Bombyx mori: one gene and its partners. The main gene of each other region encodes a partner of the protein of the gene in region 2 in a complex. Links are inferred from orthologs where the notes say so. Each region holds a gene or a part of one and is shown on either strand. Other genes may lie near its edges.

What was found.
Region 1: the proteins of TOR1 (region 2) and rapamycin-insensitive companion of mTOR are in contact, whole or in part, in a cryo-EM structure (PDB 6ZWM), measured with the Homo sapiens proteins. The link is inferred for Bombyx mori from reciprocal best matches to the Homo sapiens genes MTOR and RICTOR. Residues at the interface, in NP_001373429.1 of Homo sapiens: Arg1028, Asp1032, Lys1068, Leu1069, Asp1108, Asp1109, Tyr1110, Asp1150, Lys1187, Asn1196, Val1200, Gln1207, Asp1210, Val1211, Cys1214, Arg1215, Lys1218, Gly1219, Tyr1220, Thr1221, Leu1222, Ala1223, Glu1226, Glu1227, Asp1228, Leu1230, Ile1231, His1234, Arg1235, Arg1238; in NP_689969.2 of Homo sapiens: Leu204, Arg205, Gly206, Asn209, Arg245, Asp247, Val248, Glu249, Glu251, Arg252, Leu254, Thr258, Asp259, Phe260, His261, Tyr262, Arg263, His264, Ser265, Pro266, Asn306, Gly308, Ser311, Gly314, Val315, Cys317, Ile318, Pro319, Glu345, Ile347.
Region 3: the proteins of TOR1 (region 2) and target of rapamycin complex subunit lst8 are in contact, whole or in part, in a crystal structure (PDB 4JSV), measured with the Homo sapiens proteins. The link is inferred for Bombyx mori from reciprocal best matches to the Homo sapiens genes MTOR and MLST8. Residues at the interface, in NP_001373429.1 of Homo sapiens: Leu2269, Arg2270, Met2271, Ala2272, Pro2273, Asp2274, His2277, Leu2278, Thr2279, Leu2280, Met2281, Gln2282, Val2284, Glu2285, Val2286, Glu2288, His2289, Asn2292, Asn2293, Glu2536; in NP_001186102.1 of Homo sapiens: Tyr20, His22, Asp42, Ser43, Gln44, Val45, Asn46, Tyr62, Asn87, Glu105, Gln148, Thr174, Arg221, Tyr222, Leu224, Ser268, Arg270, Gly271, Trp272, Trp274, Ser290, Lys313, Val316.

What each region holds. Positions count from the first base shown.
Region 1 is NC_085128.1:9,695,382-9,705,520, reverse strand, and holds the start of rapamycin-insensitive companion of mTOR, read right to left. Parts: upstream 5,767-10,139; 5' UTR 5,565-5,766; coding exon 5,525-5,564; intron 5,394-5,524; coding exon 5,114-5,393; intron 4,544-5,113; coding exon 4,412-4,543; intron 3,388-4,411; coding exon 3,212-3,387; intron 1,987-3,211; coding exon 1,755-1,986; intron 1,146-1,754; coding exon 992-1,145; intron 591-991; coding exon 486-590; intron 407-485; coding exon 281-406; intron 206-280; coding exon 1-205. UniProt on the Homo sapiens protein: Component of the mechanistic target of rapamycin complex 2 (mTORC2), which transduces signals from growth factors to pathways involved in proliferation, cytoskeletal organization, lipogenesis and anabolic output.
Region 2 is NC_085109.1:10,803,669-10,813,803, reverse strand, and holds the start of TOR1 (target of rapamycin), read left to right. Parts: upstream 1-4,254; 5' UTR 4,255-4,389; exon of another isoform or gene 4,390-4,487; coding exon of another isoform or gene 4,488-4,737; intron 4,738-4,883; coding exon of another isoform or gene 4,884-5,002; coding exon 5,003-5,651; intron 5,652-5,743; coding exon 5,744-8,313; intron 8,314-8,394; coding exon 8,395-8,564; intron 8,565-8,662; coding exon 8,663-8,948; intron 8,949-9,028; coding exon 9,029-10,135. Other genes in the region: ubiquitin conjugation factor E4 B, read right to left, coding at 1-43, 188-211. UniProt on the Homo sapiens protein: Serine/threonine protein kinase which is a central regulator of cellular metabolism, growth and survival in response to hormones, growth factors, nutrients, energy and stress signals.
Region 3 is NC_085114.1:11,951,980-11,961,998, forward strand, and holds target of rapamycin complex subunit lst8, read right to left. Parts: upstream 5,669-10,019; 5' UTR 5,395-5,668; coding exon of another isoform or gene 5,263-5,394; 5' UTR 4,936-5,262; coding exon 4,753-4,935; intron 4,662-4,752; coding exon 4,512-4,661; intron 4,011-4,511; coding exon 3,949-4,010; intron 3,540-3,948; coding exon 3,386-3,539; intron 2,887-3,385; coding exon 2,696-2,886; intron 2,435-2,695; coding exon 2,092-2,434; 3' UTR 1,976-2,091; downstream 1-1,975. Other genes in the region: ADP-ribosylation factor-binding protein GGA1, read left to right, coding at 438-650; mobility group protein 1B, read right to left, coding at 8,777-8,845, 8,915-9,055, 9,135-9,284.

The DNA of each region.
Region 1 (10,139 bases), on a different chromosome or scaffold from region 2:
AGGCGGCCACCGCTGCCAGGGCTTGAGGCTTTCCGTTAGACGCCTGAGACATTAGGACGGGTAAGGCGGGCGTGATGTTACATATCGGAGGAGGCAGGAACAAGTGTACTAAATGCAGCAGCTGGCCGAGTAGAACCGTAGCGCGCACCGATATAAAAGTGTCGCTCGTCACGATCACTTCAGCTAACCCGTCCAGTAGACCGACCTAGAATTTAATTGTATACTATAATACTGCTGTAAACATTAAAAAAAAAATTGTATAACGCGAATAGGGTTGTACCTCTAGGAAACATTGAAGTAATAGAGCTAAGTGGTTTTCCGTAATATCGGGTCCCGTAGCTGCGAGATGAGGTAGTATTGCGATGCCTTCCGCGGCAACAAATCCTTCGTTAAGCCGCCACGTATCCTAGAGACATTACAAATATAAATTTCGTGTAAGTTAGATGAAACTTTGATAAAACCAACAGCATTATGTTAAAATTAACCTGAAAGTCTGAAGGGTCCACAGCGTCCAGCGCGACTGAGATCTCATCTGTCCATTCAGGTTGTGGTAGCCCTACTAATTCGTATAGCAAATCCAATATTGCTTTCTGTAATATAACACACATACAAACAATAAATGTTAACTATGAACCATACAATTAATTCCCTTATTCAAAACCAATCAACTGTGTACTTAAACCATTTTTATGGTTTACCATAAATACATAATATATTATATTGCATAGACTAGTGAATGAGCTCACGGCCCACATGATGTCAAATGGTTACCGCAACACGAAGACATCATAACAGGCAGAAATACACTACCCATGCGGGTTCACAACGAACATGAACATATGTTAAAAAATTGACACCTGTATGCGGTATTAGAACACCGACATAGTAGTATCGTTCCATCTGAGTGCATCAATCGACTTATCCTTTAAGCCACGACCATTTCAAAATCATTAAGCAATTAATTTGATTTACAATTAAAACTGGCACTTACCCGAACTTCAAGACGAGGTAAATATAGAGCAGCAACAAGTGATCGTAATCCCCCAGCACTCGATGGGTGACAAAAATGTAACAACCCTGGCCAACTCCTTAAAACGCATAGCAACGCCAATCTACTGCAGGTGAACCGCATCTCTCTCTCATCCCTATAAAGAAATAAGTATTTTAGGTTTCAATTGTAGTGCCAACTATGTTTGAGCCGAACACTGATGCTAAATACCCAGTGATTTACAACATGGCCTATCCTATTATTCCTAGCTATATCATCCACAGTCAGTAATTGATTTTTTTAGCTATTGCTTTAATTATTCTTTACTAAAGGATTTAAAAAAAAATACTGCGATTATTTTTTTAGGTTGCATTAGTTAAGAGACTAGACTAAGAGATTTTATTTTCCAAAGAAAACTTTAAATTATTCATACCCGTCGGTTGCGACGAAGGGCTCTACAAGTAATTTGACCTACAAACAGCCCACTGAGTTTCTCGCCCGATCTTCTCAGTGGGTCGCGTTTCCGATCCGGTGGTAGATTCTGCGAAGCACGGCTCTTGCTAGGGTTTGTGTTAGCAACGTCGTCAAGTTTGAGCCCCGTGAGCTCACTAATAGTTAAGGTTATGCTGAAATAGCCTCTCAAGGCTAGTCTCAGTTTAGGTAGGAAAAAAAAAACAATTATTAGCTTTAATTTGCACCATTGTTTTGATTTGTCTGGAAAGTGAACGGCTAATATCCATTTTTATAAGAAGCTTATAATAAAAACCTGGTGGAATCTGTAGGCGCTGAACGGAAGTGGAAGTCACAGTACGGTGCAGCTAGATGCGTCAGACAGGCTGTGGTGAGGCGGGCGGCACGTCGCGGGCCCGGTCGGTCTAACACGTGCAGGAGAGCACCGCACAACGCCTCCGCTTGTCGCGGGGTCGCGCATTCGGCCAGCTGGCGGGACACGGCACTGGCGCCGCCACACCACACCCACAGCTCCGGGTTGACAACGCCTGACAGACATAAATTATTATTTTTGAAGTGAAACTTCTTTAGATCGTTGTGCTTTCAAACTCCATGAAACGAAAAAATAAGTCCATAGACACAAACACAAATGAATAGGATTCAGCCGGCAAGAGAATGCGATAGAACACATTAGACATTCTCGGTCTCTGCTTTGTTGTTCTCTTTCTCTTCGTAGCATCCCCACTATCGTATACTAAACATTGTCCATATGTATGCTTCTGTGTAGTGGGATAGTCAGTATATCTATATCTTATTTATAAGTTTCACTTCTACCGTGTGTGACATGAACACACACATTTTTTATTTTATTTTATTTTTATTGCTTAGATGAGTGGACGAGCTCACTGCCCACCTGGTGTTAAGTGGTTACTGGAGTCCATAAACATTTACAACGTAAATGCGCCACCCACCTTGAGATATAAGCTGTAAGGTCTCGCTATAGTTACAACGGCAGCCCTGCCCTTCTAACTGAAACGCATTACTGCTTCACGACAGAAATAGGCAGGGTGGTAGCACCTACCCGTGCGGACTCACAAGAGGTCCTACCACCAGTAAAGTACCGCCAGTAAGAACATTACTTAGCTTCTCGACCAGCAGTGTTACTTTTTGATATCCACAATTTGTAAGACGGTGAACATTAGCATTCATGTTATGCGCTAATAACTTTAGCTGATAATTTGTCAAGACGAAGGTTCCTGCGTGATAATAGTCTGGCTATGAATGAAAAGGGAAAGGTTCTAAAAAAATTTTTTTCTTTTACATAGACACCTTGAACCGTCAAATAAAGTGATAAGGAACACATAACTATGTTAGTGAAAAAGTTTAATTAGTTAGGAAAAAAAATCATAATCAATTTATATCAAGATTAAAAAAACGATTATGTATGAAAGTATGCATCCGATAGATTAAGTATGTAAATAATTTCACTAAAATGAAGTATTTCAAGATTTTTAGACACCTTAAAGTTGGTGAAAATTGCATTGAATTGTTAACATTAGATAGATACAGGTCAAGTTAATAAAAGCATGTTTAAGAAGTACATTTCGTTTGATGGTATGTGTGTATTATAATTTACATTTAGTTTAAGAGAACGGTTAACAATTAAGATTGGTTTCCAAGTGATACTCTGTTTAGTAAGTCTATCAGAATAAAGGATATTATTATTACTAATTCCCAAAGCCAAGGCTTCTTAATTAAGTATTTTGAACTTACTTATCTCTGCTAATGTGGCCACAGCTGGACGGGATAGTCGATCAGCTGTAGGGTCTGCTGCAAGTGCAGCTAGACATCGAAGAAGTGCTGCTGCAGCTCTCATTGTGCACGCCCGCCGAGCAACACGCATAGCTTGGGCACGTTCTTCTTCATTGCGAATAATAACTTCCATAGATCTATAAAAACATGATAGTCTCACATTTGAAAACTTTCTTCATATTCAGTTTCAATAATTGTTATTTGTATTAACTCTACTATTATGTACATTTTGTGTATACAATGTACATGGCAACTTCTATTTATGAAATTTGTTCATAACATGACACAGTAATTATATCAAATTGATTATTTTTGATTAATGCAATCTATTCATTTTTCAACTGTATGTATTGCCTTTACAGTCAATTATCTATTTTTAGGTATTCTATTCTTAGGAAATACTAGGTATGAGGGTAGTGTTGGCATAGCCAAAACAATTATGTTATACTACTAACACTTAAGTATGTAAAAGGAAAAGGGTATATTAACATAAATATAAAAACTTGTCAGTTTAGAGTTAATATTTGTGCAACTACAATGATGAAAAGACCTCTGAGAAGTAGCTCAATCCTAGACTATGGAATCAGCACCTTGGCTTAGTTTTGTGATCAATTACATTTATTAGTAATGTAACCTTATTAAGCACTAATCATCATTTTATGAACTTTTTTTTTATTGCCTGGATGTGTGGACGAGCTCACAGCCCACCTGGTGTTAAGTGGATACTGAAATCCATAGACATCTACAACATAAATGCGCCACACCCCTTGAGATATAAGTTCTAAGGTCTCAATATAGTTACAACGGCTGCCTCACCCTTCAAGCCGAAACGCATTACTGCTTCACGGCAGAAATAGACGGGGCAGTAGTACCCACCCATGCGGACTCACAAGAGTTCCTACCACCAGTAATTACACAAATTATAATTTTGCGGGTCCCAATATGGCCTTTATTTATGGTCATCACTTTCCGGCTAGCATGTTAGCAGCAGTAGAAATTTGTATGAGAAAAGACTGAATCAAACCAATTAACAAAAACAAACAGGCTTAAAATAAAAATACGTGGGGTCAGCAACATCTTAGCACTGTTTTATAGATATCTCCAGTTTAAAACACAGTTTTTTAAGAGTTTTACAATAAAAAGTGCTTTATTATTTTTTACCTTACAACGAGGTAGGGTAATTTCATATTATTGAAAATAGTGACATCATAATCAGTCTTCAACAAGTGACGTATGACTCTTAAAGCGGCAGCTCGAATAACCATAGACTCATCCACAAGACTAATACGCAAGCTGAAAACAAGAAATATGTTTTAAATAATACCTACTTATGTTTCATATTCTCTAAATAAATGTTAATATTTCCTTCAGTTTTCATAAGTTGTACGCATAATTAAATCTACTGTCTCAGAGTCAGTTTAAGTTATACAAACTGACATACTTCAAGATTATTAATATCTTCTGTGCAAAATGAAACATTAGTGTGGAAATATTATTATAGAAAAACAAAAAGTAGTTAGTTGAAGGTCGACTAACAATACTCAAATGCTGACAACATATTTTTCATACATGACTACAAAAACATCAGAAATAATGAAAAACGTAAGATAAAAACTTAAAAGTTGTTTAAATTATAATATATATAACCATATACAACTTTACAATTTGACATTAGTGTGATTTTTGTGACAAATTATAAGTAACAATAACTTTGTTAAAGACCCTATTTTATTTTAAATACTTACAATACAATATGGCATACAACAATGAGTTTCGGCTATGATACAAGAATATTTATTGAGCTTATAAGATTCAGTATTGAAATTTTGTCACAACAATATAATTTTAATACATAATTCTTACCATGCCATCAACTCATCAGGAGTAAACCCTAGGTTGCTTCTCTCTTCTTTACATAACAATGTTACTAATGCATTCAGGTAGGCCAATTTTCTGCTATCAGTACTACTTCTGTGCATGCCTCTAAATCCTGACCTGTATTCCGTAGGCACAGTTTTGTAGGAGGGAGATGTATCATTTTGTGTTGATTTTCTTACGTAAAGGCCTTGTATTATGTCCCTGATATTCTCTTCCGGAGTTCTATTCTTGATGTCCAACTTAAACAAATCACTTGCAGGTTTTCCTAAAATATGTGATGAAAAATTATAGTCTATGCTGCATGGCAAATAGTAACAGTCGAAGTCAATATAATTGAAAACAACATTAACGTAGAAATTAAACAAATCGTTAATGTAATTTCTACAAATAAATTACCTCTCCTTCGATTCAAAATGTGTTCGGATAAATCCATCATCTCATTTTCAAAAACACAAGCTAAATTCGATATTGTTAAATAGTCACCGCTCTAATTAATTAGTTTTTCTCAGGGTTAAAATAAATTAACTGAATACAGAAAGTGTAATAAAATTACAACCCTGTTTTCCTCGCACACCAACATCACAAATCCACACATTTGATTTTTTTAGACGTCTGACATTCATTGACGTATTTGACAAACTGTTAAAATGTTTAAGTATGATCTATGCTAAGTGAAATTTTTGTTTTGTCAAAGACGCAAATGAAATTGCAATTCTATAAATTCCCATAAGATGATTTTCAACTAGCAAAAGTGTGCTTTGTACGAGCTTTTTAACTCTAGCGGCAAACGTAGGGGAACTGTTCCAACTCCACACAAATTTGAGGCAACTTTTACGCGATCTAGAAGTTAAAAAACTCGCACTAAGCACTTACAAAGCCCCATACTCATGATCAAGTAGCTATCCTTCAACAATCGATTACAATCAGAAGCGGTGTGGTTGTTTTGGAAGCCATAAAAATACTGAAAAAGGTATAGGTATTTTAATGAACTGCAGCTCAGTTGATACACGTATAATATATACGTATATCAACTGAACTACATATACGATATACGAACTACAATATTATACGATGTATGATATACGATATACGTGATATACGCTTATATACTATTTGCAAAGTCGAACTTCGTCATTCCACCAGTGGCGTAGTAACTAACTCATCTGTGACCAATGGTGGGTGTACATTTAGGGCAGTCGGGGCAAGTGCCCAGGGTGGCAAAATTTGAAAGTGAAAAATGGTTTTTTTAGTCTTATCAAGATTGTTCTATATAATTAATTACTTTTATTAATTCATAATTTTCTGTTTAATTGATAATTCAAGAAATTCAATTCATCCATTATTTGCGAATTATAATTTTGGCACTTTTGGAAAAAAAAATTAATAACCAAAATGATTTAATCAATTTATTTCCTTGGGATTTAAAAAAATATCGGATGTTTCTATTTTCTGGAAATAAAGAAATTTAATTAGCATTTTTTAATGTAATGTCATTATGTGTCACCCTTAGTAAAACATTTAAAATTGTTAGAGAAAAACAAATATTTATTTGTTTTTGGAATATTTAACATAATATATAATAAAGCATACAAACAAAAGTTACAAAATATACTACTATTTTGTAACATTGGTTACTGTTCGCGCGACAGCGCGACGTTTGTAAATGTTCGGCTCAACTCGGGTGCCGTCGCCCGTACGCACCCCGCACCTCTCATAACAGTGCGGTACATGACGGCACGCGGAGATACGCTCGTTCGATATTGAGTAAATTGTGCGCGCGCGCCTTTCGATACTAAGTAAAAGGTATAGTGTGAACCGGTGAAAAGGTGTATGTGCCACCCATCGCAGAGAAACACCACTACGACCGTGATAGTGCCAACATCAGCCTCCAAGTAAGTCCCGTTTTCCTACCTACCCTATCGTGTCCGCTTATTCTCCGCAGAGTTCATATGCTCCCTTTCAGCTCATCAGCTCACGTTTAAGGTGACGCTCACCTGCGTCACCAGTTACCTTTAAATTTTTTGGCTGGATAAGTTAAATAAGGAAGCTTCTAGTGATGGTGTACCATTGAACATAGTTCCTAATTATACCGATTGTGTCAACTTAGGGTGCGTTCCACTAAGCGTTCACAACGATCACGCTCACGACCGCAATTTTTCCCGTTCCACTTGCTCGTGAGCGTTACTGTCGTAAACTCAAGTGGAATGGATTTATAGAGCATTTTGAGCGTGGAGGTAAATAATACAAACGGCGAGTTAATAAAAAGCTTTAAGAGGTTAGGTTATAATCTGTAAGCCTTGAAAATAAACTTATTTAAATATTGTTTAAATCGATTCATATTGAAAACATTTATAATTTAATCTTTTATATTTAATATTAGTGGTGTATTTAATTAATTTACGTTCAAATGTAATTAAAATGTCTTTTCGGTGGCTTTTCGGCACTTGGATATTTGCTAAGAGGTCGCAATAATGCTCCAGATAGTATCTCTTTCCGCATGAAATAACGTAAGCTTAACGGTCGCCATTTTTGATGCTTTGAATTTTGAAAACGCCGCTAATTTTCTCAACGATCACTTCGACCCACCTTTTTAGATGGGTCGTCGTGGGCTTCGCGTGAGCGTAAGTCATGACTTCATAAGTGACGTTTTCGCCGCGACCACAACGACCGCGGTCGTTATGTGGAACGACTAAAGGAGTATTTTGATCGTTGTGGGCGCTTAGTGGAACGCACCCTTAGTAAGAGAGGAACGTTATCGTGTATGGAAGGTATTTTTCGATGAAAGGTCTTTGGAAAAAGGCGTGTGGTATAAAACAATTCAAAGTTTACCATGTTAATCGCCATGGTTTGATTCTTGTAACCTTAATAGAACCACCCTAGTGACTGTTTTCAGACTTCGTTCCGGGCACATCCCACTCAATAAATTTGCTCATTTAATGGGGAAGGCTGCTGATCCCAATTGTTCAGTTTGTGATGTAGTGGAAGACGCTTTTCACATTATGATGGAGTGTGCGCGGAATGATGATTTGAGACAACAATTCTTTGAAAAACATACAGATTTTCGACAAGTTGGAGGTGTAAATTGCGTATTAACCTTTCTGGAATCTGAAATGGCTAAGTCACTTTATAAAATTGTGTTGGTGGGCCTTCAGAGACGATAACAGTTTTCTTTATTTTTTTATTTATTTTTTGTTACTATCTTTTGTTGCACAATGGAGTGACATATTCACTAAGTGAATAATCTCCATAAATAAAGATAAAAAAAAAAAAGTGTGTGTGCTCCGACGCACGACTGGAGTTTACTGGATATAAAAAATTAAACGAAACAATACGAGAAATAGTTCTATATTACGACAACACGATACACTACAGATTATTAACAAATTAACGAGACACAAAACAAACGACTAACAAATATATTTCTTCCGTTCTTCTCAGTGAGCCGCGTTTCCGATCCGGAGGTAGATTCTGCGAAGCACGGCTCTTGCTAGGATTCGTGTTAGCAACGTCGTCAGGTTTGAGCCCCGTGAACTCACCTGCTAGTTAAGGTTACGCTGAAATAGCCTCTCAAGGCTCTCAGCTAGGTAGGGGAAAAAAAACTGCTTTCTTTTCAGAATGCAACTGCAATAATATTTAGTTATGTATATATTGAATTATAATGTAATTTAATTTTAATATTATATATAGAGACACTTAGGGACTGGTATAAAAAAAAGTATCATTACCTAAATTAAAAAACTTTAGAAATAAAGTGCTAACGCTGAGTTCATCATGATTTCCAAATTTTTTATTAACAAATTATGGTAGGCAGCGGCTTGGCTCTGCCCCTAGCATTGCTGACGTCCATGAGCGACGGTGACCACTTACCATCAGGTGGGCCGTATGCTCGTCTGCCTACAAATGCAATAAAAAAATTATTTATATGATAGGTATTCAAATGCTATTTAAGATATTGTGCAAGAATAAGCTTGAGCTTATATATTTTGATTTTCTGATTCCTTTGAGTCAGGAACACAGAACTTAAACCACCTCTGATGTGGCTCACTGAATTTGGCCCCCCCCCTTTTTTTGATTTTCGTTTTTTTTATTTTTTATTATTTGTTCGTCGTTTGTTCGTTAATGTTCAAAATGTAAAAATTGTTTGTTCGTCTAGGGGGCTAAATTCATTGAGCTTATCCCAAAGAATGAGCTCATGGGCTCTGTAAATATGCCCCCCCCCCTTTTTTTTGTTTTTCGGATTTTTTTAATAGCTCCAGCCCCTAGCTCCAGCCGCTTGCATCAACCGCTAGCTCCAGCAACTAGCACCAGCCGCTAGCTCCAGCCGCTAGCTCCAGCCGCTAGCTCCAGCCGCTTGCACCAGCCGCTAGCTCCAGCCGCTTGCATCAGCCGCTAGCTCCAGCCGCTAGCTCCAGCCGCTTGCACCAGCCGCTAGCTCCAGCCGCTTGCATCAGCCGCTAGTTCCAGCCGCTAGCTCCAGCCACTTGCACCAGCCGCTAGCTCCAGCCGCTTGCACCAACCGCTAGCTCTAGCAACAAGCCCCAGCCGTTAGCGCCAGCATTTTAGTACCAGCCGCTTGCACCCACCGCTTGCGCCAGCCGCTTGCACCAGCCACTTGCACCAGCCGCTAGCTCCAGCCGCTAGCTCCAGCCGCTAGCTCCAGCCGCTAGCTCCAGCCGCTAGCTCCAGCCGCTTACACCAGCCGCTAGCTCCAGCCGCTTGCACCAGCAACTAGCACCAGCCATTAGCTCCAGCCGCTAGCACCAGCCGCTAGCACCAGCCGCTTGCACCAACCGCTAGCTCTAGCAACAAGCCCCAGCCGTTAGCGCCAGCATTTTAGTACCAGCCGCTTGCACCCACCGCTTGCGCCAGCCGCTAGCTCCAGCCGCTAGCTCCAGCCGCTTGCGCCAGCCGCTTGCGCCAGCCGCTTGCGCCAGCCGCTAGCTCCAGCCGCTAGCTCCAGCCGCTAGCTCCAGCCGCTAGCTCTAGCTGCTTGCACCAGCCGCTAGCTCCA
Region 2 (10,135 bases):
CACTATTAAGAGCTGCGAGACGAACCAGGCGTCTTCTTCGTATCTGTAACGAATATTGACATCTTGCAGCACGTGTGAGTAAATGACAATTGCTGGGACGTTCACCATTGACGCTTTGTTTTGTTACGAAATTAGATTGGCCATACGTAGTAATAGACGGTCGTTTAAAAAAATTATTTTGACTTACCTCCTCTTGGCTCAATTCACTCATGATGAAAATTATAGAGTAGATTTTTCTATTAATTTGTTCGGCCTATTCTGTTACGTTAATTTTTCTTTCAATATTTTTAAGAAAAAGAAGCACAAGCCACACAACGAGTCAGTCACCTCGCTCAGCTGTTTGACGTTTGAGGCTGCACAGTGCACAATGACAATGACGAAGTTAATAATGAAAATACACGCGTCATCTTTGTAGATGAATTAGTATAAAGAGTATGTCTCTTTTTGTGATATTTGAAACAACGTAAACAAAAAGAGATAGCACCAAATATGACATTCACCCACTGTAAAAATGTTACCCTAGCAATAAAATCATTCTAGTACTATATAATTAAAGTTTTTTTTAATAATTTTCATACCTACCTACTTTTAGCATTACCCTTCCTGGAGGGCTGAGCCTTTGCTCGGCCAATGGCTCAAAATAATCCGAGTAGAATATTTAATTCTTACACAAACGCAAATCTGTATATGTGTAACATTTATTTGATTTTTGCGGCATAACGTAGTGTAAGTGATTGCAATATTAAAATTTAAAATAATAAATTAATGTGTTTAAAAATGTGTAAGTCGTATGATTTGTTCCGAACTTTTCCCTTTAAGTAAATGAATTCAGTCAATTCTCTGCAGTGTTTTCCTGCAGAGCTGCAAAATCCTGTTATTTGCCATGAATAGGTACGTACGGACAGTAACCAGAAAGAATAACCTGACTCATAAAAAAAATCACATTCACAACTTCTCTTCACTGATACCAGTCAGTCACTTACTTTTTGCATGGAAGTAAGTAGGTAGGTAGGTGAAATAAAAAAGGCAGTGCCTAAAAGTCAATTTAAACGGGAAAAAGTGGCAAGAATAGTTACTATGAATTTATAAAGAGCAATAGCGAGACTGGTAATTTTCGGGGCAGGATTTGGTTAGTTCTTTTAGTTCTTTACGTGTCTCTGCTTGTTTTGAGAAAACTTTTTTGAGGGTAGTACGATTTACAAAATGATATACCTATTAGTCCCAATAGAGGTAGGTTTTTTTTCTAATAATAGTAAATGTATAAATGATCTTATACTAGTCAATAATAAGCATATTTTAACACCATTTATTGACGATATTTTTTGGCCATTAATTTATTATTACATTCCATAATTTGATCTAATGATGACAAAAGTCTACATTTAACGATTTTTGTTTACTCTTTGAACTTAAAATGAAGAAGTTTTGGGTTTTTGTAATTTAGTCTTGAATTAACATGAATAGTTATTCTGTATCGTTATTTATATGTATTCTTCTATTTTTCTACTGTACTTGTAGATAGACGATCATGCGGCCTACTTGATGATGAGTGGTTACCGTAGCTCATGAAGACATTCTGTTTAAAACTCAAAACTCACTATTTAAACCCCACAATTTTTTTCTGTCTGTTTTAACGTCGACGTAGCCTAAAGGATAAGATATCCGTTGCATTCGTGTTGAGCGATGCACCGGTGTTCGAGTCCCAGGCGGGTACAACTTTTTCTAATGAAATACGTACTCAACAAATGTTCACGATCGACTTCCACGGTGAAGAAATAACATCGTTTATTACGAGGGCGGCACTAAAAATTTCGGGAATTAACGAAGTGACACAACATTACTATTTAAAAATGTATTTATTGCTTTTCGAAGTATTCTCCGCGAAATTTGACACATTTTTCCATACGATGGAACCAATCATTGAAGCAACCATTCCATTCGGAAGTTGGGGTCTCCAAAATGGCCGTTTTGTAGGCGTCCACAGCTTCTTCAGGTGATGAAAATCTCTGTCCACGCAATTTATTCTTTATTTTAGGGAAAGTATAGAAATCATTAGGGCTTAGGTCGGGGCTGTACGGCGGATGGTCTAATAATTCTATGTTTTCTTGCTCTAAAAACTCTTTTGTTCTGTGCGCGGTGTGAGAACTCGCATTGTCGTGATGGAGGATGATGCGGCGGTTGCAGTTCTCTTTACGGAGTTCAGAAACGACCTGTGGCAAACAAATGCTAGCATACCATTCTGCATTAACCGTTCTTTGTCTCTCAAGAGGAATAGTCGTAACATGGCCGGTTTTGGAGACAAACGTGGCCACAATTTTTTTGAAACACTCCGTGAACGAACAATTTTTGTTGGCTTTAACTCATTTTCGAACACCCAAACTCGTGACTGGTTTTTTGTTTCGGGTTCGTACGCGTATATCCAGGATTCGTCACCTGATACAATGTTGTATACAGCATTTGAGGATCCTGCGTGGAATCTTTCGAGAGTTCTGACGCACCAAGTAACGCGAGCCGCTTTTTGCTCTTCACAGGGCGAATGCGGTATCCATCGGGAAAACAACTTTTTTACACCTAATTGTTCATGCAAGATTATTTGTATTTGACTCATGCCAATGTCTAAAGTTGCCTGAATTTCGCGGTATGTCACATGTCGATCTTCCTCAATCAGCTTACGCACAGCATCAACGTTTTCTTGGGTGACTGCAGTTTTTGGACGACCTTGACGGGGATCATCACTGAGCTTGACACATCCACGTTGAAACTCAGCAAACCAGCGATAAATTGTGGTTTTGGATGGGGCTTCATCACCAAATGCAGAAATCATCCGGTCAACACACTGTTTTTGTGTTAAACCACTTCGAAAGTCATAACATATCATCGCTCTTGAATTTTCTCGAGTCAATTCCATTTTCTCAACGACTAAACAAGTTTGACAAAACCTCGTGACAAGACCGAGAATCTTTTTTTAAATAAATAAATGGTATTCGATTTTTAAAATCAAGGAGTTTTCAATTAAAAAGATTTTAATATGACAGGAACAGTGGAAATATTCCATTCCCGATACTTTTAGTGCAGCCTAGTAAAAATCAAACCGCAAGTGTTGCTAACACTGGCCCTAACATCTACTGGTGGTAGGACCTCATGTGAATACTGGTGGTAGGACCACTTGTGAGTCAGCGTGAACCACCACCCTGCCTATTTTGGCCATGAAGCAGTGATGCGTTTCGGTTTGAAGGGTGGGGCAGCCGTTGTAACTATACTTGAGACCTTAGAACTTATATCTCAAGGTGGGTGGCGCATTTACGTTGTAGATGTCTATGGGCTCCGGTAACCACTTAACACAAGGTGGGCTATGAGCTCGTCCACCCATCTAAGCTTTGATGTTTAATGTGTTTTAAGCAAACACATACTATGTTGTTTGCTTTCCCTATTATTTTCGAAAGCCATAAAAGAACCATAAATGGCTTTGATGAAATGTCTATGACCCGAGTTGAAGCTGATGATCAATTTAACTTTGTCGTACACGAAAAAGAAAAAGATAAAAGTACACAAAAAAAATTATATCACACGGATTCTTCAATGTATCTAATTATAATAACTATGTATAGTTCAAAGTAGGGAAGCAAGGGTAGTTTTCCAATTACAGAGCATAATGCGACTCAGTGGGACACAATGCCGAATTATGCTGAAGCATAATTGGAACGTGAATTAGTTTTCAAATGCATCAGCAGAGTGCGCTAAGTTCAGTATTGAAAAAAATATATTCAAACCTCATTAATGTATAAATAATGTAGTGGTAAACAATAATAATTGGTTGAAAACTATTTACGGTTATTTTAAGTAATTTAGATTTTGATTATTTCATTAACACTTTTTTAAGTTTTGAGTAATTTTTATAAACGAGTTATAAGAAAATTATATACTTTTTAATTGAATCATCTTATCCAGATGATAGTGTTGACGATGATTTATCGAGTGCTTCGAGTTTAAATCAATTATTTCATTAACAAGTGATATACTTATTGAAAATATATATGATAATGAAACAGATGAGTTATTTGAGCCATTAATAAAATATCTGATGACAGGCAGTACTTTTGAGAGTGCTCGATTGTGCGAAGCGTTGCTGTAGTTGGACCATTCAACGTTGAGCATTATGCCGCATAATGTGCTGTAATTGGAAAACTACCAAGAAGATTTTTTTAAATACCTACATTTGTGAACCATAGATAATCTATCAATCCTGTGTCAATGGCCGAATGTTATTAACTTCATTTGTTTACATTTATCTTTTAATAATTTGTTTAAAAATCGTTGACTATCAATTAAGTCGACAAATATACAAACGAAATCATGACTAATAGTAATTTGAGTGAAACATTGATAGAGGTTTGAATTCATAATAATTTATAGCAGTGATGGTGATGAACTGCGAGTGTAATAGTTTGTTCTGAGTCTTTTAAAAAACAAATCTGGCTTTCCTTGAAATGAAAATTTCTGACAAAGGCGACAATATGACGAATCATCAAGTATTAGAGCTGATATCAGGTCTAAAATCTCGACATTCAGAAACAAGACACCGAGCTGTGCGAGAGTTGCTACATTTTGCCAAAACAGAACTGCGGGAAATGTCTCAGGATAGTTTGACCCAAATTTTAGATGATTTCAACCAACAGATACACGATATGACCACTAGTTACGATAACAACGAAAAAAAAGCTGGAATTCTTACTATAGGTACATGATAGAGGTTATATTTTTCTATTGGCCATGATTCACATGTCTTTAATGGTTCCAAATAATTAATCTATTAACAAATACAGAAATTTTGGAGTAGGTGGTGCTAATTTAAATAAATAAAATGTTATAAAATATCTTTTCAGTTTGTCTTATTGGAGGTGATACAGAGACCACCAAAACAAGGACAATACGTTATGCAAATTATCTACGAAATGTGTTTCCATCTACAGACATAAATCTCTTAGAATTGGGTGCTAAAACTATGGGACGATTAGCTTCCTCATTAGGAATTAAAAGAGGAGAATATGTGGAGACTGAAATAAAAAGATGTTTCGAATGGCTAGCTGAAGAAAGAAATGAAGGCAAACGATTATCGGCTGTTTTAATTTTGAGAGAACTGGCTATATCTATGCCATCATATTTTTTTCAGCAAATAAATGGATTCTTCAATCATATCATGAGAGCACTTAGAGATCCTAAAGATCAAATACGAGAAGCTGCAGCAAAAGTTTTGAGGGCTGCTTTTGCAGTAACCTCTCAGAGAGAGCAGCCAGAGCAAAGTAACAAAGCTCATTGGTATATTCAATGTTATGAAGAAGCAGAGACATCATTTGGTGATCATGCTATTAGAGAAAGGGGATTGAACAGGGATGACCATGTGCATGGAGCTTTATTAATTCTAAATGAATTACTCAGGTGCTCAAATGCAGCATGGGAGAAAAAATACACTTCTCTAATGCAAAAGCTAGACCCTGATTTAGATTCTCATGATGAAATGTCTTCTCTCAGTCCTAAAATTCAGGGTTCATGGTCATTGTCACATTATTCAGATGAAAAAAATCAACCTCTAATATTTGAATCCAGTATTTGCAAGAAATTAATTGAAGATAATTGTGAAAAAATCTCAGCTGGTATGAACTGGCAAAAAAAAATTAATTTGTATTTAGAAAAATAAATTATAGTGTCATTGTATCTATTGAGACTAAACAATTATTTTTTACAGATGTAATGGCTCAGCAAATATCAAGAGCTCATAATGTGCATCAGATGCTCCTTCTGTTAATACCTCGATTAGCTGCCTTCAACAAAGAAACTTTTGCTAAAAGACATCTGAAGTCAACGATAAATCATTTGATAACATTCTTACGTGGTAGAGAAAAAGAAAAGGCCATGGCTTTCACCACACTTGGCTTGGTTTGTGTAGCTATGGAATCAGATGTACAACAGTATCTCTCAAGAATTATTGATATTATCAAATTAACCCTGCCAATCAAAGAAACACAGAAAAAACGTAACGGATCTGAAACACCATTATTTCATTGTGTTACATTACTAGGATTTGCCATGAAAGAGAATGTAGCAAATGAAGTTAGAGAGCTGCTAGATTCTATGTGTTTGACAGGCTTAAGTCCACAATTAACAACTTGCTTTAAAGAACTAAGCAATAATTTACCTTCTTTAAAAAAAGATATAACTGATAAATTATTGAACATGCTATCTTTAATATTGAGAAAGAAACCTTATGTTTCTACCAACGAAAATCACAAAGGTGTCTTCACAACTGCTTTGCTAGCAGAACCTCATGATGCCAATAAATTAGTATTGGCTTTGAGGACTCTAGGTTCTTTTGATTTTGAATGGAATAACACTTTGATGTCCTTCATCAGAAGGTGTACAGATCATTATCTGCTGTGTGATCATCACGACATTCGGCTAGAAGCAGTAAAGACAGCTGCAAGATTATTAACGAAAGCTGTGGAGAGATGCGCCCAGATAAATTCACGAACTTTAAATTTAATGATTGATGAATCCATAGGTAAAATTTTGTCTGTTGGACGATCAGATTTTGATCATGAAATACGCTACAGAGTACTTGAGGTGTTTATGAATCCAGTATTTGACAGATATCTTGCTGTAGAAGAACATCTAAATTGTCTTTTTGTTTCTATTAATGACTCGAATTCTGAAGTTGGAGAACTAGCACTGTGCATTTTTGCAAGATTGAGCAATCTCAACCCAAGCTATACCACACCAACATTGCGTCAACTGTATGTACAAATTCTAATAGATTTGCAACATTCAGAATCTCCGCGGAATAAAGAAAAAGCTTTACGAATGATAAATAATATTATATCTCATGCTCCCACAATTACACGTCAATTTGTTGATACAATTCTAAATGTGCTTATACCGAAACTGAAAGAAAAGGACAGTAATTCCACTATGATATCTACAGTACTAAAGGCCATCGGAGATTTGGCAGAGGTTAATGGTGGTGGACATGCTTTAAATAAATGGTTAACAGAATTGATTTCTACTCAAATTGAAATCCTGGCAGATCCTAATCAAATCGAAAAGAGAAGTGTTGCCCTATGGTCTTTTGGTCAAGTTGTAAGTGCAACAGGGCACGTGGTCGCTCCATACATGGAATATCCCAAGCTAATGGATCTTTTGCTAAATTTCTTAAAAACGGAACAGCAACTTCGAGAAATACGCGAAACTGTTCGGATTTTGGGATTGTTAGGAGCATTAGATCCATATAAATATAAAGTAAATCAAGGATTAATAGATTTCCAAACTGTGTCTACTTTGATACCTATAAGGGAGCCGTCAGTCGATAGTTTTGAATCTAATATCAGTGAAATGTTAGTAAATATGTCACCGTTAGTACTAGATGAATTTTATCCAGCCATCGTAGTGACTTCACTAATGATAATGTTGCGCGATCCGACGTTAGCGCACCACCATCCAAGTGTTGTGCATTCTGTAACTTTTATCTTCCAATCACTGGGTATTAAATGCGTCCCGTACATATCACGTGTGACGCCAACGCTTCTACACGTTATTCGGACAACGGAAAACAGCAATTTTCGTGAAATACTTTTGACGCAATTAGCACAATTGATATCTGTTGTGAAAATCCACATTCGAAACTATCTGGAAGACATTTTTGACATGATAAGGGAGTACTGGACTCCCAACAGCCACCTCCAAGCTACCCTAATAATGTTGGTCGAACACATAACGGTCGCGATCGGTACAGAATTTAAAATTTACTTACGTAAAATACTACCGAACATTCTTAGGGTATTGAAACACGACACAAGCAAGGATAGATTTTTGACAGAGAAACTGTTAATAACAATACAAAAGTTTGAGAATAATTTGGATGACGTGCTCTTGTCGGTGGTGCCAGCGATAACCGCCCTGTTTGACGGGAGAAACATTCCGTTCGCAATTTCGAAGCTTGCGATGGAGACCATCGAGCATCTCTCCGTGCACTTGTGCGTCAAACAGTATTCGGCGACAATCATTCAAGCCCTCGTCAAAGTTTTGGATAACAACGCTTCATTGAGGCAAACTGCAATGAACACTCTCTCCGCTTTGATAGTTCAAATGGGCCGCGAATACATAGATTACATACCGTCTATGGAAAGGATATTATCGAAACATAAAATACAATGTCCTAACTATATCGTGTTGGTAACGCGGTTACAGCTAATATCTACGCTTGCATCAGATGATGATTATTTGGACGAAACGCGGTCAAGACTTCGTAATCAAAAGAACGAAGTGAGTGTAGGCAACATCTATTAGCAACTTGTTGTCACAATTAAACTGGGTGTTTAAATAATAACATGATCTATTTTCTAGATGGTAAGGTGCACAACGGAAATGCAGCCTATACAGAAAGTTACGTTAAATGTACACAATTTACGTAAATGTTGGTCTGTCCATAACATTGTGTCCAAAGAAGACTGGATGGAGTGGTTGCGTCTGCTCAGTGTCGGCTTCCTGACCGAATCCAACAGCCCTGCTATCAGGCGAGCAATTGTGATATTTATTTATCAGTCCCTTAATTGTAAAGCATAAATCAAGAGTTGTTTAAAAAAAATTGGTAATTTTGGTAAATTACTTACAGAGCCTGTTCTACTTTAGCACACAACAACCCTCAACTTGCGAGCGATCTGTTCAATGCGGCGTTCATGTCGTGCTGGACGGAGCTGGACGAGTCCTCGCGCAAGGACTTGGTGGCGGCCTTGGAGCGAGCACTCACCGTGCCCGACCTGCCGGAATTAGCGTTAGCGGTCCTCAACCTGGCCGAGTTTATGGAGCATTGTGAAAAATCATTGTTACCGATTTCCATAAAGTTACTCGGAGACACAGCTATAAGCTGTAGGGCTTACGCTAAAGCTCTTTATTATAAGGTTAATGAATCTTTATTATTGTTCATAGTTAATTAAATGTCTTAGTGATTTTTTTTTCAAATTTTTTATACACGTTTTAGGAGGAAGAGTATAAGAAAAATCCGTGTACGAAGGTAATTGAAGCTTTAATTCATATAAACAATAAGTTGCAACGTAAAGAAGCTACTAACGGCTTACTCGAAAAAGCAGTTAGTGAAAACAAAAACGGAGAGAATGCTATAAATAACCACGTTCACTGGTACGAAAAACTTAACAATTGGGACCAAGCTCTAGAACTGTATACTATTGCATTAGAATCTCAGCCCAACGACGAGGCTTCAAAGTTGGGAACGATGCGGTGTCTGGAAGCTATGGGCGAATGGAAAAGATTGTACAGTATGACCCACGATCAATGGGACAACATGGACGAGGAGTTTCGTAATAAATCTGCGAAAATGGCCGCAGCGGCATCTTGGGGTCTTCAAGAATGGTACTCGATGAAGAAATACGTGGAACTGATTCCAGAAAGTACCCAAGACGGGGCTTTTTACAGGGCCATCATAAACATACAGGACGGACAGTGGGCCGAATCGAGACATTACATCGATCTTGCCAGAAGTCTCATAGATGTCGAGCTGACAGCAGTGGTTGGAGAAAGTTATCAAAGGGCTTATGGAACACTAGTCAACGCCCAACTGCTAACCGAATTAGAAGAAATTATCACTTATAAATTAATAGAAGAAAGACGAAGCACAATCCGAAAGACTTGGTGGACACGACTCCAAGGCGGGCAGAGGCTGGTCGAGGATTGGAGGAAGATATTACAAGTGCGCAGTCTAGTCATGTCGCCGAGAGAAGATTTTCAGACGTGGTTGAAATTTGCGTCGCTATGCAGGAAAACGGGCGCAATTAATCAAGCGCATAAGATAGTTATTTCGGTGTTGGGCAGCGATCCGATCTCGAACCCCGACGTCATGTTACACGTGCAGGACCCGCGAATCGTTCTGGCTTACAGCAAGAACTTATGGGATGTCGGCAACAAACGTTACGCTCACGATGTCTTGCAAAGATTCGTGGATAGCACCGAACCGGAAAACGAAGAACATTGTCGTCTCTTAGCGCGTTGTCACTTGAAATTGGGCTCGTGGTGCGAAGCAATACACGAAATCAATGAGCTATCGATCCCGGAAATCTTAAGGAACTACGCG
Region 3 (10,019 bases), on a different chromosome or scaffold from region 2:
CTAGGCTTCAGCATAATTCGGCATTGTGCGTCACTGAGTCGCATTATGCTCTGTAATTGGAAAACTACCATTAAGTAATGGTTAATTACAGAACATAATGCGACTCAGTGACGCACAATGCCGAATTATGCTGAAGCTTAGTTGAGCATTATGCCGCATAATGCGCTCTTGTGCTGTAATTGGAAAACGGCCTATATCGACGCTTTTCGTTGACCCCAAGTGATTATTATCTAAAACTTCATTAAAGATTTCGTCCAGATTTATTATTCTCTTTACGTTTCAAATACTTTACGAATATTAAATTGTAAATTATAAACCAAACTTTAAAAGTGCTATGATTGGCATCTACGATTCACTAAAAAAAAAAATTAGAATTTTTTAAATGCGTGTGTATTTAGTAACTACTTGTAACTAACGTCTGTGTAATACAATTTCAGGGTTGTAAAGTTCGGCTACTGACACCGTCGGGGACGTCACTGCCGGCGTACAATCCGTTCCTGCCGCCGCCAGCCCTGACGCAGGTCATGCTGCTCGCGAGGCCGCCTTCTATGAATAACATCAGCCTGAAATTCGTTATCACGTACACGTGCGACGAGGAGGTGTATTCAGAAATTGGCGAAGTCAAAGAACTGCCTCTAGAGAAAATCTAACATATTCTTTAAAACATTAAAATGCAGTCGGTGATCGGTGCAATTGTTGGATCCGGAGAATTTGGTTAATGAATAATCCGATTATGTTTCTTATAAAAATATATGGTCGCATACTGAACACTAAAACCGGCTTCAAATTGATACATTGATAGAACCGGAGTGTTGACTATGAACTAAGTAACCATTCTTTTATTCAAATAAAATATCTTTTTACACCTTTTAGCAAATCTCATAGTTACTAAATAATTAAGTTTATTCATTAAATGTTACAAAGAACAAAACAATTTTACTTAGTTTGAACTGTCAAGCGATATTAATGCGCGTACGCTATCCTACCGCGCTTGTTTAAAATTTCGCGCTTTGACAATTATTATTATTATATTTTATAAATCGGTACTAAAAAAAAATGATAATTAATAATATTGAATTAAAGTATGTACATTAAGAATTATATCTAGTCGTCGCTGTATTAGCGAACAAAAATGTACTTATTAACATTCCTAATGCGAATATTCTTATTTGTATTTAATAGTTATTTAGTTTTATTACACTAAAAATTGACGTCTTTTATATAATTGAATCCTAATGTTTTAAAAAAAAGTATTTAAATTTGACGTACAAGTACCTAGTTATAATATTATTAGTTTTAGTTTTGCATTTATGGAGATCTGATACAATATACCATAGTATTATGTACGCTATAAATAGATATATTGATGTTTCATGGGAGCTTGTAAATGTTCCATGAAATATGTATTTGTTGAACGAAATACACACTTTAAAAATGAAGTTGACTTGGTCATATTTTATTTACTTTTACAATCCATCTATACTGTTTAAACGCTCAGATACTTCTGTGAAATTACCTTAAATGTTTCAGATTTATAATACGATTTTTGTATCACTTATCTCACTTGCGAATGAATGTCATTTGCGTCCATTCCAATTATTATTGTTAATGCAACAATCACCTAGCTGAACCCTTCAGGGCGAACCTCGAGTCACCAGCTATCCTTCCATCCCAAAAAGGCGATGTAATGAAAACGATAAAAGTAGCTTTACTTTAGTTCATTAACATACAATTACCATCGCTTTCTCGAAGTAATTACAAACACAATACAATAAACAATACAAATAATAATTCAAAAACTATTATTTATTTTCTGCCTGCTACATGCTACTTTGTTGGCCATGTGCATTGCTAGTGTTTAAGCACTATTTTTTGACAAATAATATAACCAGTAATAAAAATTATAAAATTAAAAATAGTGTTTATTTTTATAAAAATATACATTTACACTTTTTATGAAGAAAAAAACCATTAATGCTATGTAATCATTTATTCAATTAAAAATTAATTCAATTATTATATTATTTACAACTTTATTATTTATTTATTTAAACTTTATAATCATCCCAAATTATTTTAAACCATATCTATTCAAACAGGTTGATCTTTAAACGCGAGTGCTGTGATGGCTTTCTGATGACCGCAGTACTCCCGTTCAAGCGTGCCACGCTCAATGTTCCATAATCGAGCATAACTATCCGATGAACCTGTAAATAACAAAATAAAATTATCTGGTTTTTTTAAACTTTGAAAAAATTGACTGGGTTGCCAGGAAATTGAAAATGTCTTACCAGTGAATAAAAATCGAGAATCAAGCGTAAAGGCTGCGTCCCAGACCCATCGCTGCGTGTCGCGCCGTAGCTCTCGCAACAGCGCCCAGTCGCTCGTGCGCCAGATCTTGGCCGAGCAGTCGCCCGACGTCGTCACCAACATGCTATTATCACATTAGTCAGATATTAAACATTTTCTAAGTTACTATACTTATTGCCTTACTTATGCCTTGCTTTCTTGCTTGCCTTGCTTTACTTATGATAGAAGAGTATGGAAGGAGAAAACATGTTGCGCTGACCCCGGGTGACTGGGAGAAGGGCAGGATAATGATGATTGCCAAGATAAACTCATTTAATAAACACATGCAACATCTAATGTCTTAAAGTTGATTTTAACTGAAATGCTGTAACATCTCCAAACTCACGTTGAATCTGGGCTAAATTTACACCGTAAAGCATATTTAGAATGTGCAGTAATGTGTTTTTTGGGCACAGGGTGCGGTGGTTGTCCGCTCAACGACCACACGTAGCAGTTGCCCTTGTTATTAACAGCCGCCATCATCTTGCCGGCTGGATCAATAGCTATGTCCTGAATCGACGCCTCCGCTTCTGGTATCTAACAAAAATAAGGATAAATAGTATAATATTTATGTGTAACATGTAAATGAAATAAACATGGTTTATTTAAATTGAATTATGTGGTTGGACAGGCACTTGGCTAATGATTGATCAATTACTAGAGCTTATCAATAAAACATAAATGCTCAAAACTGATGATTGTTTCGTGGAAAAAAAAAGGTAGGATGGTGGTCCATACACAAGTGGGTTTATAATACATCCAACCATCAATCAACCTATTAAGGACAGCAGAAATATGTTATAATATACAGAAAATACTACTGGCCATTCTCTAGTAAATACCTCAGTAGCCTTTCTATATATCCATTATGAGCATATTGGTGATATCATGTTGGCATCAGCTTTTTATGCAGGAACACTACTGAATAGGATGCGGAGATAGAGTGTTCCTTTCACTTTTGTAGCTCACCACAACATACTGTATTATAGCTTCTCAGCTGATAGTGGATGTAAAAAAATATATATAGTAAAGTTACCAGTTGTTCATTTTGATCCGTTTTCAGATCCCATATATGTATAATGCCACTCTGGTCTCCAACCATTATCTGGGACTGATCAGGATGAAGCATTACTGCATTCACCGGAGCTTGAACTTGGAATATCTTTTGACACCTTGTACGTGGTGCAGCCCTACATGAGAAACATGCCGCTTTAAAATTTCTATACTAAGCTTTCTAGGTCCAGTCAGTAAATTGTGTTTTTAAACTCAATAAAAGTTAAAGTTTAATTTCAGAGATCAGCAGACAACCTCATGGTCTCCTAGTGTAAATAGTTATTAGCTTCTATGATCTAAATTTTGATTTTATTCCATAACCATTAGCATTACACTTGACAGCTTTAAAGCAGGAATCATATCTTCATACCACCAGTAAATATCAGTTGGTGAATCTTTTATAATAAGCACGAATATAACGAATGATATAAGGTGCTGCATTGTCATCTAGCATCAGAGAAACCTCCAAACATCATTTGGCCAAGGTTAGAAAACACAAATGATGTTACCTAATAACTGGTTGATATAATACATAGCGTCTTTAACCTGGGATCCCATATCCTGGCTGTGCAGTCCTCACCTCCTGTGTACATCCAAGTGCCATTTTTCTGCAAAGTTACAATTTAAAAAAAAAAAAAATTAATGACTTGTCTTATTGTAATAGATGTGTTCACAAATTAAATATCCAATCATAAATATACATAGTTTTTTTTTTTTCTAAAAGATAACAATCTTGAAAAGTTGTTTGAAAATGAATAACTGATTTTAACATCAGTTTTTGTTTAAAAACTGCATGTCGACACAATTTGTGTGTTTTTCAAATTGTTGCCCTAGAAATAATTATAATCTCAAAGATTTATAGTAATTCCTATGCCAGTGAGATCTCAAATATTTAAAGGACACTGAAGATCCAGTTTCAACTGAATGAGTTTTGAACTGAGAAAAGAAATATATTTTTTTTTCTATTCCTGGCAAATATTTAGAGACATATATTAAAGACACGTACTTCCTGTAGTTTACTGTCAGTGACACCTAGGTCACAAATAATCTACCTGAAGGTCATGTATATATTGTTTTCAACAAATTTTAATTGAATTTATGCATAATACCTGAAACCCAACTCGAGATACGTTTTTGGAGATGTCCTCAAAAGTTGTGACCGGGTCTGGATTGGCACTACTAAGATCATATAACCGTATATGCTGAAATCCAGCTGCTGCTACCATCGATGTTGGTGAGATCTCCAAGCTGTTCACTTGCTGAAAGGAAAACTCGTCATGCAATAAGCTTTAGCTGATTTTCATAATATAATCAGTTTGTAAAAATATCACGAAAGTTAATTTAAGTTACCTCACAAAAGATGACTGGCATGTTAATCTGAATTATATTTGTACAAAGTGGTCTGCTTGTATTAAATCTTAGCTCACAATTATCTGACACTGTCGTGACCAGTTTTAATCGTTTAGGTAATTCTCTTTTTTTGGACATTTTTGCAACTTTACAGGAGAGCCATTTAAAGTTTAAAATTCTCATAATAAAAAAAGTCCATCAGCTATTTGGATGCAGTAAGCTTAATTGATGTTCAATCAAAAACATTGAATTGGTGATAGTTAATACCAAATAAAATGGACCTTTAATTACAAAGATAAATGTCGCGTATTAATCGAAATATCGCTTAATTCAAATAGCCTTTCAGCCCTCGTTATTATTCAAAGCGAAATTTCCAAATCAATTTTTTATGAAAATTTAAAATAATCATGCAAATTTACGGAGCGATTTGAATGAGTTATCTGGAAATGAATTGAGTCATTTTGGTCATTTATAGAAGATCAATAACCGAAACATTAAAATATGAAGTACCGAATCTGGATGCTGCATTGTTCGTAAACAAACACCACTGTGTGCCTGCCATAGCTTGATAGTATGATCGTAGCCTCCTGTTACTAAAGCCACCTGCGATCCTCCAAGAGAAGCAGTGGTATCACCAGCCATTTTATGAAACTTATTGTTTAAGCAATTGGCATATTTATTTCTTAAAAGCACATTTTTTTATTTCCAACTGCCAGGTAATTTTGAAATTTCGGATTTTAATTTTTAATTTCGAACTTTCCGAGCAACATAAATCTTGTATGATGTGATATAATCTACGTTATACTTGAACCGAATTATCGGGGCGCTTTTAATATTACTGTAAATTCTAACTAATGCATCTCATAAAGTCAAAACATAACCAAAACAACACAGCACAGGTAATTCAAAGTTGAATGAAGTTAGCCACTCAAAAAAATTTTTTTTTCCTATTTTATACTTATTTTCTATTAATTCGTTTGTTCATCATTTGTTCATGATTGTTCACTGTTAATAATTGTTTGTTCTGCATTTATTTATTTAAAAAAAATATTTAAAAATATACCTACAAGTTAGCCCCTCTAATGCAATTTTTTATATTTTTTCATCCTTAATGACTCGTAAATATTCATTTTCGATTGTTCTTATATAAAACACGTTTGTCCTCTTTCGAAATTACTCGTTTTTTGTTTAATTTACTATTTTTATTAGTTGAATAAATGTATGCAAAATATGTGTACTGCGCATGCGTCAACTATAATGCCTAAACTTTCCACGCGGTTTTAATCGTAAAAAAAAAACAAATATAAATCCTGAAGGAGCAATTAATTGGTATACAGTTTAATTAAAAAAATTAAAAAATAAATAAATGAAATAATGTGCATTGGCGTTAAGTTAGACCAAATACATTTTTTCCATCCTCTTACCTATCGTATTAAAATGTTATTTTACTAATGTTAGGAATATAATTTCGACTGTGTAAAAAAGTTATTATAATGTATACCTATATTATCTCTTGAAAGATAAATAATGAACATATTTACTTATTTGTTTATATTACCTATGTGAACTCCCTATCTTTTTTATACCTTCATAACGATAAGTAGGAGGATGGAAAAAATGTATTTGGTCTAACTTAACGCCAATACACATTATTTCATTTATTTCTTTTTTAATTTTTTTAATTAAACTGTATACCAATTAATTGCTCCTTCAGGATTTATATTTGTTTTTTTTTCACGATTAAAACCGCGTAGAAAGTTTAGGCATTATAGTTGACGCATGCGCAGTACACATATTTTGCATACATTTATTCAACTAATAAAAATAGTAAATTAAACAAAAAACGAGTAATTTCGAAAGAGGACAAACGTGTTTTATATAAGAACAATCGAAAATGAATATTTACGAGTCATTAAGGATGAAAAAATATAAAAAATTGCATTAGAGGGGCTAACTGGTAGGTATATTTTTAAATATTTTTTTTTAAATAAATAAATGCAGAACAAACAATTATTAACAGTGAACAATCATGAACAAATGAATTAATAGAAAATAAGTATAAAATAGGAAAAAAAAATTTTTTGAGGGGCTAACTTCATTCACCTGACTTGAATCACATTTTCTTTGGATGCCTCCTACGTGACTGTTCCTCATTCATAAATTCCCTGATAAACCTCCGAGTTCCTCTTCCCACATCAATCCCTACATTATTAATAATATTAAAATGTAAACAGTTTTAAAATATAATATTCTTTTTATTTATACCCAATCACTATATATTATGAACTCTTAGGCATTATTATATATTATTATCCTATTACGTACATATCCTTTCCAAATTTCGAACCTTCCAATTGATTCCTAAATAAAACTGGTTTCCCTACCTTTTCCACACTAGTAGTGGCAAATGCACAAACCGTGCGAGTCAAAATATAAAAAAAATAAAAAATACATGCTTCCATCTTGAGGTTTTTTCTTGTTAATCTTTCGTATTTTAATAAGAAACAACATCTTGGTACCTAGATTATGAAACTAAAACATATCAAGAAATTATTTTCATGTTAATCCAACCTTAAAAATTGATAATCAAGGAATTGCATACCTATCAAGTTTCTGATATAGGTACAAGCCCAGACCCAAAATCTTGAGACAAGTACTGCATCAGATCAAATATTAGGTATCAAATTGAAATACAGAACTAGGTACCTATCTAATGGATGCAGTCTTACATGGTCAGTTTGACTAGTCATAATATTAATTCTCAATAGTATGAGTATTCTAAGATGGGATCAATCACGAACTAGATTTAAGTAATTAATGTAGGTACCCACCTACATTTTATACCCTCAAGACTTCTAGTAAAGTCTATGTTCAGTTCCATCCCTAAAGTACGATAACAGTTCTTTTAACTTGGTCGAAAATATTTATACCTGCTACGAAAATTAGTGTCTATATATGACCAATGACCTATTACTGAAACTGCAAATCCAATCAGCCAGGTTGCTCAGTTACTAACCTATGTATGAACTGAAATTAAAACACTAATTATAAGAAATTACTTTATTGAACATGTAAAATCCGTATTGACATGAGGAATGCTAATTCTCATTTACAATATAACACAAATGTAAAATTTGAGAGACAAATCACATCGACAACCTACCTATAACTAACTAAAATACAACATACACATGAATTTCTTAAGATTATTTTTATGGTAATGCCACAAATCTATGCTAGAATTCACCTGAAAGGCGAGTCTCAAGATTAAAATGACACTTATGTGGTATAGTTTTATAATATGCATAAGTCCTAAATAAAGCCACGAGGTAACCTCGACAAATGCTTAAGCTTATTGTTTGGTACCATTATTAGCAATGAATTTACAATGAAGAGGTAGGTTTGAACAAGCGGGTGCAATATCCTTCCAAGGAGTAGACATTATAATAAGTCTCTAATTTTACATATTGATAGTTACACCAAAACTTATGTCCAATAGTTCAGCATTAAAATAAAACTGAATCGATATAAAATAATTCATAAAAAGCACAGCTTTAATTAGATATTGGTGCAGACATAGAAGTTTTGATAAAACCAGTCAAAAGTATATCTCAAAATAAGCATCCACAAAGTCACAGCGAACTTAACGAGGGAGGGCTAACTGTACAATTCCCTGGTGAAATACATGCTAACACTTACACATTATTTTTTTGAGGCTTAGAAACCTAGACCCTAGTGTGCGGCAAAACTTTCCAAACTCTGCATCTTATTTTATATCTATCATAACTAACACTACAATATCAAGAAAATTAAAGGAATATTGAATCAAGAAATGAATTATTTAATTGCATTTTATAAACAAAATACCAGTTGCAGTTAAAGATGATTCCAACTCTCATTAAATGTTAATCAAAATCAATGTCAAATGCATTTCATACAGACTTTGGAAAGTCAGTCCCGTTTTACTTTGTAATAAATTAAGTCCTTATTCAATATGAACAGTAATGTCTTAAGGTTTGGGAGATCATTCACTTTCTTCTTCCTCCTCCTCACCTTCCTCTTCCTCAGACTCTTCCTTCTTTTTCTTGGATTTCTGCAATAAAATAATTGTTGTTTAAAGATTCAACAAATGCTTTTAATATTGAAGAATTTGTTTACTCACAGCAGCAGCAGTTTTCTTGCCCTTTTTCCCTCGTTTTTGAGCCTTCTTTTCGCCCCCTTCGCCACCACCGCCATTGGCATTGTAAGATTCTAGGTCTTTTGCATATTGCTCCTTGGCCTTGGCAGCTTTCTGTTCCCATTCCTAAAGTAATTTCAATTATGAATCTCTATTGTAACGCGCTAGATAATAAATCACATTTTATTTCAATCATTGTACTTACAGTTTTGTCTTTCATTGATTTCCAAATTTCACCGCCTTTTTTGGCTATTTCGGTTACTCTTAAGCCAGGATTTTCAGATTTTATCTGTTCCCTCGCGCTGTTTAACCACAGCATGTATGCGGACATAGGACGCTTCGGCTTGTCCGTCATTTTGACTTTTTTCCTGGAAGAAATACCATGCTCTCTAAAAAATACTTCGCTTCCCACAAGGCAGCAGGTTCAAAGAGTCACGTTTTACGAACTTCAAGCTCTAGACGGTCTACGCACTGCTTATACGGTGTAACAGGGCGTCATTTTGGCGGGAAACGTATTTAGGCCATTTAGGACCAAGATTGTAACAGTAGCCATAAATAATATTTAATCAATATGAAAACCTACGAATTAGACTAACATATTCGTATCCATAACAGCATAAAACATCTAAAATAGTTATCGCCCCATTAACGAGTTCACTGTCCTAGGCTTGGGTCGAACGAGCCATTTTGTTTTCACGAATTATGTAGAAAATACGCAATATCTTTAAAGGACAGGATTACCAAATAATCCTTTGATTATTAAACTAAAACTTGTAGAAGAACTGTTAGGGTCACTCAATGGAAAAGATCCGAGAAATTAATTATTGAAATAAGGCGTCACTCTCCTTACCCACGCGTACCAAGGAAAGTACGGCGATGCATATAGCCATGTTTGAATGCGAATTCCAACGTGGAATGAAAATAAATCCTATGAATCAAGGCTTGAGAATCACTAATAAACTTGACAAATTGTTCAACTTTGAATAGAAAATTGATTGGACTTACCTGATGGCAAAAATTTTGAAATAATTTTTGAACTGGTACACAACCAAACTGTAGACGTAGAGAATGTGAAGAAATGTATGGGGCT